Linked DNA regions of Canis lupus familiaris. The protein of the gene in region 1 interacts with the protein of each later gene in a pairwise test. Links are inferred from orthologs where the notes say so. Each region holds a gene or a part of one and is shown in the gene's direction. Other genes may lie near its edges.

Region 1 (4,212 bases):
ATCTAATTATGAGCAATTTCAGAATCATAATTACTGTTCCATTTGGTCTCTTGATCTGTAATGCACATAAGGATCTACTCTTAGCTTCTAAGGGATTATAAAACAAACAAACAAACAAAACCCAACGTGGTTACTTACTGAAGGCTAGGAGATGTGTTTTGTGAAGCGTCCAGCTCACAGCTTCTCTGTGAAGTGAGGGGAATGGACTGGATGGCCTCGGAGGGCCCTTTCCTGGGTTTTAACAGGCTCTGATTCTGGGAGATTGAATGGAATTGAAAAGAGCCTCTGCCTCTGTGTCAAAAGATATCATTTTAAGTCTCAACTCCCCATCCATACAATTTGATTTATCCAGTCAAAAATCTTTGAACGTCTGAGCGTCAGGTACAGGGGAGGATACAGTAATGAGCAAGACAGACATGGCCCCTGCTCATCCTGTTAAGAAAATCGGAGGACACCTATAATGTGCGGTTGTCCTATGGAAGAAACCCAGCTGGTCCAAGTATGGTGTAAACTACAAAATCTTGCATCCCATCAAAAGATGGTGATCCTGCCAGGATTCCAGTTTCACCAAGTCCAATGACAACAAAATCGTCACCTATTTTGCTGTTTTTTGAGAGAAGCCTGATAGTGTATTTTAACCAAACCTGGTCAACACTGCAGGCAGCTTTCCCGCCCTTCTGTTGCAGTTCCACCTAAATGGGCTGAGGTTATGGGTGCTCACTTCCAGCACTGTACTGTCGCTGGCAAGAGGCCAAGCCCCTAGTCCACTCTCGCAGGCCTGTCAGAAACCCATTAGGCTGAGTCTGGACCTGCGGGTTCTCGGTGGCTCCAAGTCACCAGCCTCGGCCCCTCATCTGTGAAAGGCAGGCCGTATCTGCGAAGAAGCCATCTCCCACGCTACTGGGAAATGCGGATGCGGCCGTGTGTCGTCGGGCCGAGCCTCGCTCGGAGGCCACACTCCAGAGGGCTGGGGAGGGCCCCCTTGGGGCTCCATCTCGAGCCCCGGGCCGCGACTCGGTTGGCAGCAGAGCTGGCGGGGCCAGGCGACTCGGTCCCGGCCCCAGCTCCCGCACCCGCTTGCTGGGTGGCTCCGGGAAGGTCACCTGGCGGCCCTGCCGGCTATAGCCTGCATTCGGCGGGAGGGGTGCACCGTCTCCCGGCCGCCGCGCTCGTCCCTACGGGCTGCCAGCAGCAGACGGAGCGGCCGGGCACCGGGGACCCGGGCAGCAGCCGAGGGCGCCCGGGAGCGCGCGGGGGTCACGTGGGGCGCGCGGGGGCGCGCGGGGGCGCGCGGGGGCGGGGCCTGGCGCACGCGGCTCAGCCGGCGGCGGGGCGCGGGGCGCGGGGCGCGGGGCGGGCGGGAAGGGGCGGGGCCTCGGGCGGGGCCGCCGGGGGGAGGCGGGGAGGCGGGAGGGGAGGAGTGGAGATGGCGGCGGCGGCGGCGGCTCAGGGGGGCGGGGGCGGGGAGCCCCGGGGAGCCGATGGGGTCGGCCCGGGGGTCTCGGGGGAGGTGGAGGTGGTGAAGGGGCAGCCGTTCGACGTGGGCCCGCGCTACACGGAGCTGCACTACATCGGCGAGGGCGCGTACGGCATGGTCAGGTGAGGGGGCGTTCCGGAGGAGGGGGCTCGTGGGGGGGCGCGCGCGAGGGTGAGTGCCCTCGGGCCGGGGCGCTCCCAGGGTCCCGAGGAGGCGGGGGCTTCACGAGGCCGGCGGGGCGTCCCACGGCGCGGCCCTGGGGTGCTCTGGGGGAGCGGCGCCGCCTACGTTCTAAGGGGAGGGGGCTTGGGAGGCCTCAGGAGCGACCATTCTGTAGTGAAGGGAGGGGCATCGGAGTGTCCGCGGGGGAGCCGTGGGGGGACCCTGGGGACTCTGTGGACGCGGGAGGAGGCGGAGACACGAAGTATTCTTGGGGAGGTGATATCAGTGAGGACCGAGTGAAGGACCCTACTCTGGGGAAAGGATGCCTTGGATTCTCCCAGTGAGGCCTGCCAAGGAGCTGGGGAGAGCAGAGCTCAGGGCTGGGCAGGGTGGGGCAGGGCTTTGGGCCTGGGGCCAGGAGCCCGGTGACCCATGAGGGGTCCAGGGGTGCGTTCTTGCAACTTTTAGAAGGGGTCTGTTAGCTCTCTCGTCCCCACTGTGTGCTCTGGGCCTTTGTTCATCTGGGAACAGCTCTCCTGCCCAGGTGCCTGACCCTAACACCTCATCCCTTCTTTCCCATCCCTCCTGACCGCCTCCTTCTCACTGTGCCTCACTGTGCGTCCTGCACTCACCTCCCACTCCCTGGACCTGTCTTGGGTTGAAGGAGCCCAGCCTGGAGAGGGGAGGATGAGAGGTCAGGGCAACTAGAATGGACAGGGCTGAGGAGAGGGGAAGTCAGTGAACGGTCAGTCTCTTCCTCTGTTTGTGAAGTCACCGAAGGGCTGCCTGGCTGGTCCCCAGCTTTCTCCCTGGAGATCCCAGGCCTTCACAGCAGGAAGGAACCAGCATTGTTTATGACTTGGCCAGAGTCCTCTCATGCTCCCTCCCCTCCCTGCTCAGGCCTGGGTAGGGCCACCAGGCCTGGACTCCCCCTATGTAAGGCCACACCAACAACATCTCTCTGACCCTCTCAGCTCAGCTTACGACCACGTGCGCAAGGTTCGCGTGGCCATCAAGAAAATCAGCCCCTTTGAGCATCAGACCTACTGCCAGCGCACACTGAGGGAGATCCAGATCTTGCTGCGCTTCCGCCATGAGAACGTCATTGGCATTCGGGACATTCTGCGGGCGCCCACCCTGGACGCCATGAGGGATGTGTATCCTTCACCTTGGCCAGATGGCTGGCTAGGCATAGCCTCAGAGCCGGGCTGGGAGAACGTTGGCTTTCTTTCTGTTTCCTTCTTTCCTGCCACACTCCAAAACAAACCCAGCAAATGAAACTTTCCAGCAGAAAAGAGACCACAGAGTGTAAGAGGACTGGGAGGCCTGAGGTGAATCCTGGCCTGCTGTAACCAGGCTGTGTGGCCTTGGGCAAGTCTGTGCTCCATGCTGTGCCTCATTTGGGGGGAGGGTGAGAGTTGGGCTCTATGGGAGCTTTGTCTTTTGACATCTGCATTTCTGTGACGTGACCCAGCCTCTGCCCACAGACAGTTCTTGTTTAACAGATGATGATTCTTTCCTCTCTGGGTCTGCAGACTGGAAGGAAGGCAGGAAGGAAGAAAACTGCCCGTTCTGAAGGGCCTACTATGAGTGAGGTGCAGTGCACGCCAAATGCTTTGACACTTCTTATTCTACCTCCCAGCTGCTGTATGAGATGGGTCTCATCAGCTCCATTTCAAAGATGAGAAAACTGAGGCTCAGAAAGCCCCAAATCAGGTGCTGCTGTTGCTGCCTCCTAACCTCCCCCAGATGAGAACTGTCCTTTCTCTGACATTTCCTGCTCAGAGCCTCACCCCAGTCACCTGTGGACTTGCACTTCGCCCAGGGAGGGACAGCCTTGTCTTTGTTGCCCTCCCCCCCCCACATTGCTTCCCTAGCTTGTCGTCCACTTCCTGTCAGGCCCTGTTGTTAGCAGCTTATAGCACCCATCACCTCTCCCCACCCTACCCACCCCCAGCCAGTCCCAGTTCTCCACCCAAATGTGGGGATTTGTGCTGCACTGTCTGCAGCCCCCACCACAAGCTGTGGGCAGGAAATCTCCACACTCGCCACTAGCTTGCTGTGTGACCTTAAGCAAGTCACTGCATCTTGCTGGGCCTCCTCACCTCTCAAACAGCATAATCGGCCCAGGTGTCTTCAGAAGGCTCTTTCAAGGCTGATTCTAAAAGACAGCCCTGACTTATTCTTTCAGAGAGCAACCAAATGGCATTTATTTATTTATTTATTTATTTACTTAACGTATGTTTAATCTTTGTTTTCTCTTAAAATACCAAAGGACATTTACTCTTCCATCTTCTGATGTATGGCCAGGCACTCTTTGAGGAGGAGCATGCTGTTGGGAGTTTCTCCTCATTTGTCTTGCCCAAACCATTCCCCATAAGGCAGGCATTTATTTTTAAGCAAACATTTATTGCATGCCAGATGGTGTTCACACTATCTCATTTAACCCTCTCAACAGCCATGTGGCTTAGGCATTTATCATAGCAACACTAGTTCATGTTTGCTGAGCACTTACAACATGCTAGGCTCTGGACTGGGCCGGCTGGTTTCCATGGGTCACCTCACTGAGTCTT
Region 2 (4,251 bases), on another chromosome or scaffold:
AATGGAGAGAAGCATCTGGATACAAATACCCAATCAGAATGTTGTACATCTAAAACTAATAGAATATGTTAATTTTATCTCAATAATAATAAAAAGGCACCTGGAATTGGGACCTATTTTGTGGGCAGAACTTGGCGGAGGTGCTGAGGGATGGGTGAGAACAAAGGAGAGAGGTCAAGCTCAGTTCTCCAGTGTTGGGTCTACTAGGTGCATGGAGGGCTTATTTGCTGAGTTGAGGGCTTTTTGATGAGATGTGGAAGACTGCAGGGAGATCAGCGTTAAGTGGAGTGGGAGCTGAGGTGGTGAGTTTGAGATCCAAGTGGGGACTGTCAAAAATGTCAGGGAGGATGTTCTCTTCCTCCAGTTAAGTGGGCTAATCTCTGACCTCAGGACTTTTGCACTGGCAGTTCTCTTTCCCATTGGGGGATGGTGGGGGAAAGGCCTCCCCAAATCTGCACATATGGGGCCTTTCTTGGCTTTCTGGCCTTGGCTCAAATGTCACCTCCTTGGTGTCCTTCCCTAACCACCTGTCCCTGCAAATAAGGCCATCAACCCCTTCAACCACCCCTACCTCAAAAACACATCATGTTTGAATCCTCAATAGCACTAATCACTATTGTGGTTAGCTTTACTAGCTCCCCAATCAAACTATGGACTCCAGGAGGGCAGGGTCTGCATCTTGTTCACTGATAAATCTGAGTCGCCAAACACAGAGCCCAACGTATGGTATAGACTCCATAAATTATAAAGTGCCTGGTTAAAAGATTCCCCCTGGACCAAACCCTATGCAGGGCTAGGAGGACCCATGAGATACAGACCTCACCTTCGAGGGTCTCACAGTCTTGCTGGAGGGAAAGAGAGGTCAGCCCTGGATCCCAGAGGAGGTCCCTTACCCAGAGGACGGTCAGGGAAGGCTTCCCAGAAGTGACGGCCGCAACTACCAGGGGAAGACCAGAGGGTTACGCAGCATGTGGAGGCTCTGGTACGGACAGCGATCACTACACCATTTGATGAGAGACGCTCAGGGCCAGAAATTATCTGACATTTCCTGATGACTCGAATCCTGTCCTAGGGCGACGTCTAAGAAGCCATCCTCCTTCCCAAAGGGACAGAAACGAATGGGAAAGCGCCGCGCAACGCGGTGGGTCTCCAGCAGGCGGCAGTGAAAGCAGGACTCTTCATTCATCTCGGGCTGACAAGACGCGAAACAGGCAATAACGGCTCCTCGCGGCTTCCATATTACGGAAACGCATGCGCAAACATGGCCGCGCCCTGGATTGTGGGGCTCAAAGAGTCACGTGACTGAGCAACTTCCCGTCCCCTTCTGCAGGTTTTCCAGAGCCCTACTTCCTGCACTGTCATATAGAAGCGCGTGCCGGGGCTTAGTGCGTTTCGAGGCCGCTGGAGGCCTGGTCTGGGCGGCTGTGATCTGAGAGTGCGGCCGCGGGAGCATGGAGGGTCTTCCGGAAGGGAAGGCACCCGCGGCGGCGCTGGCCGCTGTGCTGAAGCATAGCTCGGCGCTGCCCTCCGAGAGCTCCCAAGTCCGAGGCTACGACTTCAGCCGCGGCGTGGACTACCGTGCGCTACTGGAGGCCTTCGGCACCACTGGCTTCCAGGCCACCAACTTCGGGCGCGCAGTGCAGCAAGTCAACGCCATGGTGAAGCCTGGGGCGGAACTTCCTGGGTTGAGGGGGTGTGGCCTCCAGTAGCGGCAATGCGGTACTGGGGGGCGGGGCTCCCTTGAGAAGGAGGCGTGCCCTTTGTCGGGCGGCCCAATAGGTGGAGAGAGGCAGGGTCCATTCTGGGCAGCGGTTTCCGTGCTGGGGAGAGGACCTTGTGCCTCCCCATCTCCATAGCATCCTACCATCAGGATGAGGTTGGGACTGATGCTAGATAGGAGGCGGGTTGTAGGTAAGGAGTGAAGTGTTCTGAACGGTGCGGTTGAGGAGGAGCCTCAGTCAGGGCGGGGTCTGGGCTCAGATTTGCTTTTTCCAAAGGGGAAAGTGACCAGGCCTGCAGAGGTAGTGCTCTCCAGTTCCTTGAAAGGGGAATAAAACCTGAGCGCGTGCCTTGAGATTTGGGCGGTGAATGGGGCCGAGCCTGCGCAGGGGGCGTTCGTTCCTTGGCTTCAGGTATTCCAAGTAGAAGTGTTTCCTTATTCCTGAGTGGGCAGGCCCCGGGGCTGGAGTCTGATCCTGAAACCCACTTGGAGCCCTCGGGCTAGAGTTTGGGGCCAGAGGGTAACTTGACTCTGCCCTTACACCTAGATAGAGAAGAAACTAGAGCCGCTGTCGCAGGATGAAGACCAGCATGCAGACCTGACCCAGAGCCGCCGCCCACTTACTGGCTGCACCATTTTTCTGGGCTACACATCCAATCTCATCAGTTCAGGCATCCGTGAGACCATCCGTTACCTCGTGCAGCACAACATGGTGGGTACCTGGCGGGGTTGTGGACTTGGCCTCTCTAGGTCTTATGGGCAATAAAAATTATTGGCCACTTAAATGACAGGGAGACAGGATTGTTTTAAGCGGAGGAACAGGATCTACTTTTATTTTGCAGTAGAGATTTTCCCAAGGGTCACTGGATTAGTGTTGGGAATGAGGAGCCCTACCTGGCATGACGGCAGGGCCCCTCTTCCTGGGCCAACCTGATTTGTGGCTGCAGGTGGACGTCTTAGTGACCACAGCTGGCGGTGTGGAGGAAGATTTTATCAAGTGCCTGGCACCCACGTACCTGGGCGATTTCAGTCTCAGGGGGAAGGAGCTACGTGAGAACGGGATCAACAGGTTCGGGGCCCTGAGTGATGCTGGGCAAGGGAGCTGGGCTGAGGATCCTGGGGCCCGATGCCCACATGCCTCATGTTCCGCAGGATTGGAAACCTACTGGTGCCCAATGACAATTACTGCAAGTTTGAGGACTGGTTGATGCCCATTCTGGACCAAATGGTGCTGGAGCAGAACACAGAGGTGGGGCAGGAGCACCCTGGGGGTCGGTGTGGAACTGAGGCGGCCCTGCTGGCTGAAGTCAATGTCTCCTCCTAGGGTGTGAAGTGGACACCTTCCAAGATGATTGCCCGACTGGGCAAGGAGATCAACAACCCAGAATCAGTGTATTACTGGGCCCAGAAGGTGAGGGACTAGGTAGGGCAAGGGTACCAGGCCTTGGCACATGTTAGCTTGTTTCACCTTCATAGCCACCTGGAGAACCATTTCATCATCTCCACTCTTAGGTGAGGAAGCCAACACAGATGTTAGTTTGTCTGACGCTGCGGTCCAGCAGTGGGAGTAATGAGAGCTACCATTCTCCACTGGTTTTGTCTGGTTTCATCACATATGCTTCATCTGTGATGGAGATGCTGTTGCAGTCTCCATTTTACAGTTGAAGAAGCTAAGGCCTAGAGAACTTAGTAAGCATCCTGCCTAGAATCAGGCAGAGAGGAGGGGATGCCACTGGGATGGGGGCCAGTCTGCCTCTGCTGGGCTCTGAGCTTGTTGCTCTCATCTTGCTGTTCCCTAGAACCACATCCCCGTGTTGAGCCCAGCGCTCACAGATGGCTCCTTGGGCGACATGATCTTCTTCCATTCCTACAAGAACCCAGGCCTGGTCCTGGACATTGTTGAGGGTGAGGTGCTAGGGCCACAGAGGAGCAGGGGAGGTAGGGTGGCTGTGTCCACTGCCTGACCACAATGCTCTTCTCCCAGACCTGCGACTCATCAACACACAGGCCATCTTTGCCAAGCGCACTGGGATGATCATCCTGGGCGGGGGTGTGGTCAAGCACCACATCGCCAATGCCAACCTCATGGTGAGTGGGGACACAGTAGCCGGTTCCTAGTGAGGGTGGCACTCGGGCTTGCCATACAGACCTGTGCTAAGCCTACGCCATGTGCCAGGGCAACAACTGTAGACTAGATAGGCCAGGATCCCTGTCCTCCTGGACTGATGTTCTAGTCAGGGAGATAGGTGGCAAGCAAGTGATGTGCATGTCACGGGGCAGTTAGCTGCTGTGGGAAAAAAAATGAGGGATGACAAGTGCAAGAGAAAAAGAAAGGAGTGCTGTTCAGAAAAGGGAAGTTCTGGGAAAGACAGCCTGTAAACAGAAAACAGCCAGTGCAAAGGCTCTGAGGTGCCTGAATTAAATCAAGGGACAGTTAGCAGGCCAGTGAAGGGGACCGAGACAATTAGCAGCAGGAGCCTGGCCTCTAGGGCTGCCAGTTGGGTGCTTATAGGTGCACCCTGGCCTCTATA
Region 3 (4,017 bases), on another chromosome or scaffold:
CTTTTGGGAGATGTGGGGGTCCTCAGGAGTCCTGGGGAGACCTGGGACTGGGGAGAACCTGTAGCTGAGCTTTACCGGGGATGCGTTTCTCTCCTCATCCTTCCTCAGCGAATTCATTCATTTGTAAGTTCACTTATTCAGCAAAAGCCCGTGAGCGAGTGTGGTGTGTGGCATTGCACACTCGTGGTGAGGGAGCCACGGGCTTGAGGCCCTGCAAGGGAGCGCAGATGCGCCAAGGCCGTGGGCTTGAAACCATTTCCGGGGAGGGCACCCCCGCCCGGTCAGGTGGCCCATCGTAGGGCTCTTGCAATTACCTGTTTCTGTCCCTCTTCCAAGGGGACCGACAGCCCTGGGGGACAGGGGCCTCCAGGGAGCTTGGGGGGCGCCCAGCCGAGCCCACGGGCGAGGGTCGGGGAGACCCGGGAGGCCCCAGCGGTCGTGGCCGGGCCCCGTCTGCGTGCTCCGGAGCCTCAGTTTCCCCCCGTGTCCCGGGGATGGGGAGCTGGGGTTGGGGATTCTTTGCAGCTGGAAGGATTCTCTTGCGCGGAAGGCGGGCGGGCAGAGGAGGGCGCAGGGCCCCCCAGGACCCCGGGCCCCCTGCACCCCCCGGGCCCCCCTGCACCTGCCGGGCCTCCCGGGCGCAGCACGGGCTCCGCGGGGGCGGCGGGCGCTGGGGCCCCGGGGCTGGGCGGCCGCAGGTGCTTCCCTTCCCGCGCGCGGCCCACAGAGGGCATCCCTGCTCGCCGACACCCGCGCGCGCGGCAGCTGCGGGCCGCGCCCCCCCCGGCCCCGCCTCCCCGGCAGCCCCGCGCTCCTCGGGCTCGGCGGCCCCGCGGCCAGTGAGCCACCCGCCTCTCGGCGCTCGGGCCCGGGCTCTCGGGGGCGCCCGGGCCGGTCCTTCCCCGGAAACTTCGCGGCGGACCGGGCGGCCTCGCCCCCGCGCACACCCCCGGACCCGCAGCCCCGCGCCGGCTCCCCAGGGACTTTCCGAGGCTGCACCGAGCTCGGCGCCTCGGCACCGGATGCAACTTTTGGCTGCGCGCTCCGGCTGCTGAGCCTGCGGGCGGACGCGCGAGGAGGCAGAGGAGGCGCAGGGGCGGTGGAGGAGGAGGAGGAGGAGGAGGAGGAGGAGGAGGAGGAGGAGGAGGCGGCGGCGGCCGAGGGGCTCGGCGCGAGTGTGCATGTGTGCGCGCGGGGCCGGGTGCATGAGTGTGAGCGCCGCCGCGGCCCCGGACCTCGGCCCCGAAGCTGTGGCTGAAGCATGGAGACGAGCGCCGGCCGCGTCCGGGCCCCCGGGCTGGCTTTTGTGCTCCTCGCCGCGACCCTGCTCAGCGCGCCCCCGCGAGCCGCCGGTAAGGGTCCTTCCTTTCTTCTCCCCGCGCCCGGCCCCGCGCCCGCGGCTGCTGAGCGGCCGGAGGACTCGGCGTCCCCGGGGCCGGGCGCGGGGCGCGGGGCGCGGGGCGCGGAGTTGGTGCGCGGCGCTGCGGGCGGGCGGCGGGGCTGCGGCTGCGGCTGCGGGGACCCGGCTGCGCCCCGGAGCCCGGAGCCACGGAGGGGAGCGGCGGCCGGGGGAGCGGGCGGGGGGGCGGCGTCGGGGCGCTCCGGGGAAGCCCGGGGCGGGGGCGGCCGGTGGTCCGCGGGCTCCGGCGCGCGTGCGGCTGCTGTCTGCGCCCGGCGGCGGGGCCGGGGGGCCGGGGCTCGGGGGCCGGGGGCCGGGGCCGGGGGCAGGCGGGTCCTGTGCCGGGGTCTGGTCGCCGCGGCGCCGGGCACCGAGCGGAGCGCCCCCGCGTCCCCGGGATACTTGCAAACTCCGGGGGCCCTGACGCTCGGCGGCGCAGCTGCTGGACACACGCGCCGGCCCCGGGGCGCGATCCGGGTCTCCCGGCCGGGAGGGGCAGCGCAGGGGTCAGGGCGCCACCCCCGGGGCGCGGGGCGCGGGGCGCGGGGCGCGGGGAGAGCGGCGAGGCCCCGCGCGTCCCCCCGGAGAGCGCCTGGGGCCGGGCGCGGGCTCGGGGGCCGTGGGTGCACCGCGCGGACCGCGCCGGCCCGGGCTGCGGACCGCGGACCCCGACCCCCGGCCCCGACCCCCGAAGCCGCCGAAGAAGCGCCTCTCGGGGCGCGGGGCTCGGGCAGCGCGGGGCCCCCAGTCCGGGCTCCACGCCGACGGGACTCTCGGCCTCCTGTGGCCGGCGGAGCGGCAGAGCCCGACAGGGAGGGCTGCGTGTGCGCGTGTGTCAGTGCATGTGCGTGTGTGCATGTGTGTGTCCATGTGCGCGTGTGTGCGCGTGTGTGCGCGTGTGTGCGCCCGCCTGTGGTGTGGCCGGACCCGGCGCGCCAGCGGGAGCCGCGAGTGTGTGGACGCGCCTCCAGCCGCATCTGCGCGACAGGCAGCCCGGCCCCCTCCCCCTCCCTCCCCCTCTCTCCCTCTCTCCCCCTCCCTCCCTCTCCAGGTCCCTCCCTGTCCCTCTCCCCCCTCGCCCTCCCTCCCTCTCCCCCTCTCCCCCTCTCTCCCCCCCTCCAGGTCCCTCCCTGTCCCTCCCCCCTCCTCCTCCCTCCCTCCCTCCCTCCCTCCCTCCCTCCCTCCCTGTCTCTCTCTCCCTCCCTCTCCCCCTCCTCTCCTCCTCTCCCCCTCTCTCCTTCCCTCTCCCCCCTCCCTCCCTGCCCCTCTCCCCTCCCTGTCCCTCTCCCCCTCCCTCCTCCTCCCCCTGAAGGTGCGCAGGGCCCCGCGCACCCTGAGGCTCCCTCCAGGCGGGGACCCAGAGGCGGGGCAGGGGCGCGGCGCCCGGGGAGGGAGACGCGGGTCCTTGGGGAGCAACTGGACGGCGCGGGTCGTGGGGACGCCCAAGTGCCGCGGAGCCGTAGCGGGGTGACCGCGGCCTGGGGCGGCTGCGGGGTGCTGAGCTCCAAGTTCCATTTACCCAAGTTTCCGCACTCGCAGGGCGGGGCCGCCGCGCTGTCCCGGCTTCACTTTGGCTTCGTCTTGGGGAGCCAGCGGCCTTGGCAGGGGCGCCCTGGGCGGCTGCGGGGGACCCCCCTTTCCCCGGGGCTGCTCCGGGGCTGGGCGCTGACTCAGGCCCCCCCGCTTCCCTGCCTGGTGGCTTCTCGGGTGGGGTCACCCCCGGGCGCCACCTGCCTGGCCGGCCCGTCCCCGCGCAGCACCTCGGGCACTGCGGCCCTAGCCTGGGCCCTAGCACGGGCGCCGGGTGCCTCCCGCCTCCCGGGCCAAGCCCCACCCTGCTGCACGGTTGATGAGGCCTGTGACCCACAAGAGGGCACCTAGGGGCGAGCACTAGGTGCTGGAGGACGGTGGTGGCCTTCAGGTGGCCTTAGGTGGATTCCAGGGGAGCCGCAAGCTCCAAGTAGAGTGTGGGGATCTCGGGGGAGAGGAAACTTCTGGATGCTGGCCGTTACCGAGTGCGGGTTAGTTTAAGGTGTGCCTGTCTGGGTCACATTCTCTGGACCAAAAAACCCATATGGGGGTTTGTGTGGTTTGGACTTAGTCCGATGAGGCCTCGCTGCCCCCAGCCCCACCCCTCCTCACCCCTGAGCCCCAGCAGAGCAGATGCCCCCCTGGGACTTCCATTGCGGGGAGCAGGGTGGCCCGGTGTCCAGTCCCCTGGGGCTGGGCCAGCACCCCTCACCCGCGACCTGTCACAGCAGCAGCAGTTCCCCTGCGACCTAGGAAGCCCGTGGACCGGCCACCACGTGTGTTCTGGGTGAGTGTTGGGCCCAGGGCACGTGCTTTACAGCTCCTGCAAGCTGGGCTGCCTTGAGCTGCTGATGGGCACCTTTTGGGGGGGCGGGGGGTCTAGAACTCAGTGCGCAGCACTTGCATTTATTCTCTGGCAAGTTAACCTCCAGCAAACTTCCCTGTTGTTTTCATTGAAGATGAGAGCTTTAATCTTCCCTAAATTCCTCAGTGAAGCTCTGCTGAAAGCCTCTCCTGGCGTAGAGGGTATTTGGGGGCCTGTAGACTGGTTTTCTCAGAAATGGGAACCTTGACAAGAGATTTGGGGA

Evidence for each region. The genes of interacting proteins can lie anywhere in the genome.
Region 2: the proteins of MAPK3 (region 1) and DHPS interact in binary tests that used the Homo sapiens proteins (3 or more experiments, as listed by UniProt). The link is inferred for Canis lupus familiaris from reciprocal best matches to the Homo sapiens genes MAPK3 and DHPS.
Region 3: the proteins of MAPK3 (region 1) and DCC interact in a two-hybrid assay, tested with the Homo sapiens proteins (2 studies listed by BioGRID). The link is inferred for Canis lupus familiaris from reciprocal best matches to the Homo sapiens genes MAPK3 and DCC.

The regions. Positions count from the first base shown.
Region 1 is NC_049227.1:18,278,803-18,283,014, reverse strand, and holds the start of MAPK3 (mitogen-activated protein kinase 3), read left to right. Parts: upstream 1-1,412; 5' UTR 1,413-1,426; coding exon 1,427-1,599; intron 1,600-2,613; coding exon 2,614-2,796; intron 2,797-4,212.
Region 2 is NC_049241.1:49,833,041-49,837,291, forward strand, and holds the start of DHPS (deoxyhypusine synthase), read left to right. Parts: upstream 1-1,451; coding exon 1,452-1,658; exon of another isoform or gene 1,659-1,700; intron 1,701-1,758; exon of another isoform or gene 1,759-1,871; coding exon of another isoform or gene 1,872-1,911; intron 1,912-1,997; exon of another isoform or gene 1,998-2,132; intron 2,133-2,267; coding exon 2,268-2,432; intron 2,433-2,667; coding exon 2,668-2,789; intron 2,790-2,872; coding exon 2,873-2,969; intron 2,970-3,044; coding exon 3,045-3,131; intron 3,132-3,519; coding exon 3,520-3,625; intron 3,626-3,704; coding exon 3,705-3,808; coding exon of another isoform or gene 3,809-3,826; intron 3,827-4,251. UniProt on the Homo sapiens protein: Catalyzes the NAD-dependent oxidative cleavage of spermidine and the subsequent transfer of the butylamine moiety of spermidine to the epsilon-amino group of a critical lysine residue of the eIF-5A precursor protein to form the intermediate deoxyhypusine residue.
Region 3 is NC_049222.1:22,991,098-22,995,114, reverse strand, and holds the start of DCC (netrin receptor DCC), read left to right. Parts: upstream 1-1,217; 5' UTR 1,218-1,261; coding exon 1,262-1,352; intron 1,353-4,017. UniProt on the Homo sapiens protein: Receptor for netrin required for axon guidance. Mediates axon attraction of neuronal growth cones in the developing nervous system upon ligand binding. Its association with UNC5 proteins may trigger signaling for axon repulsion.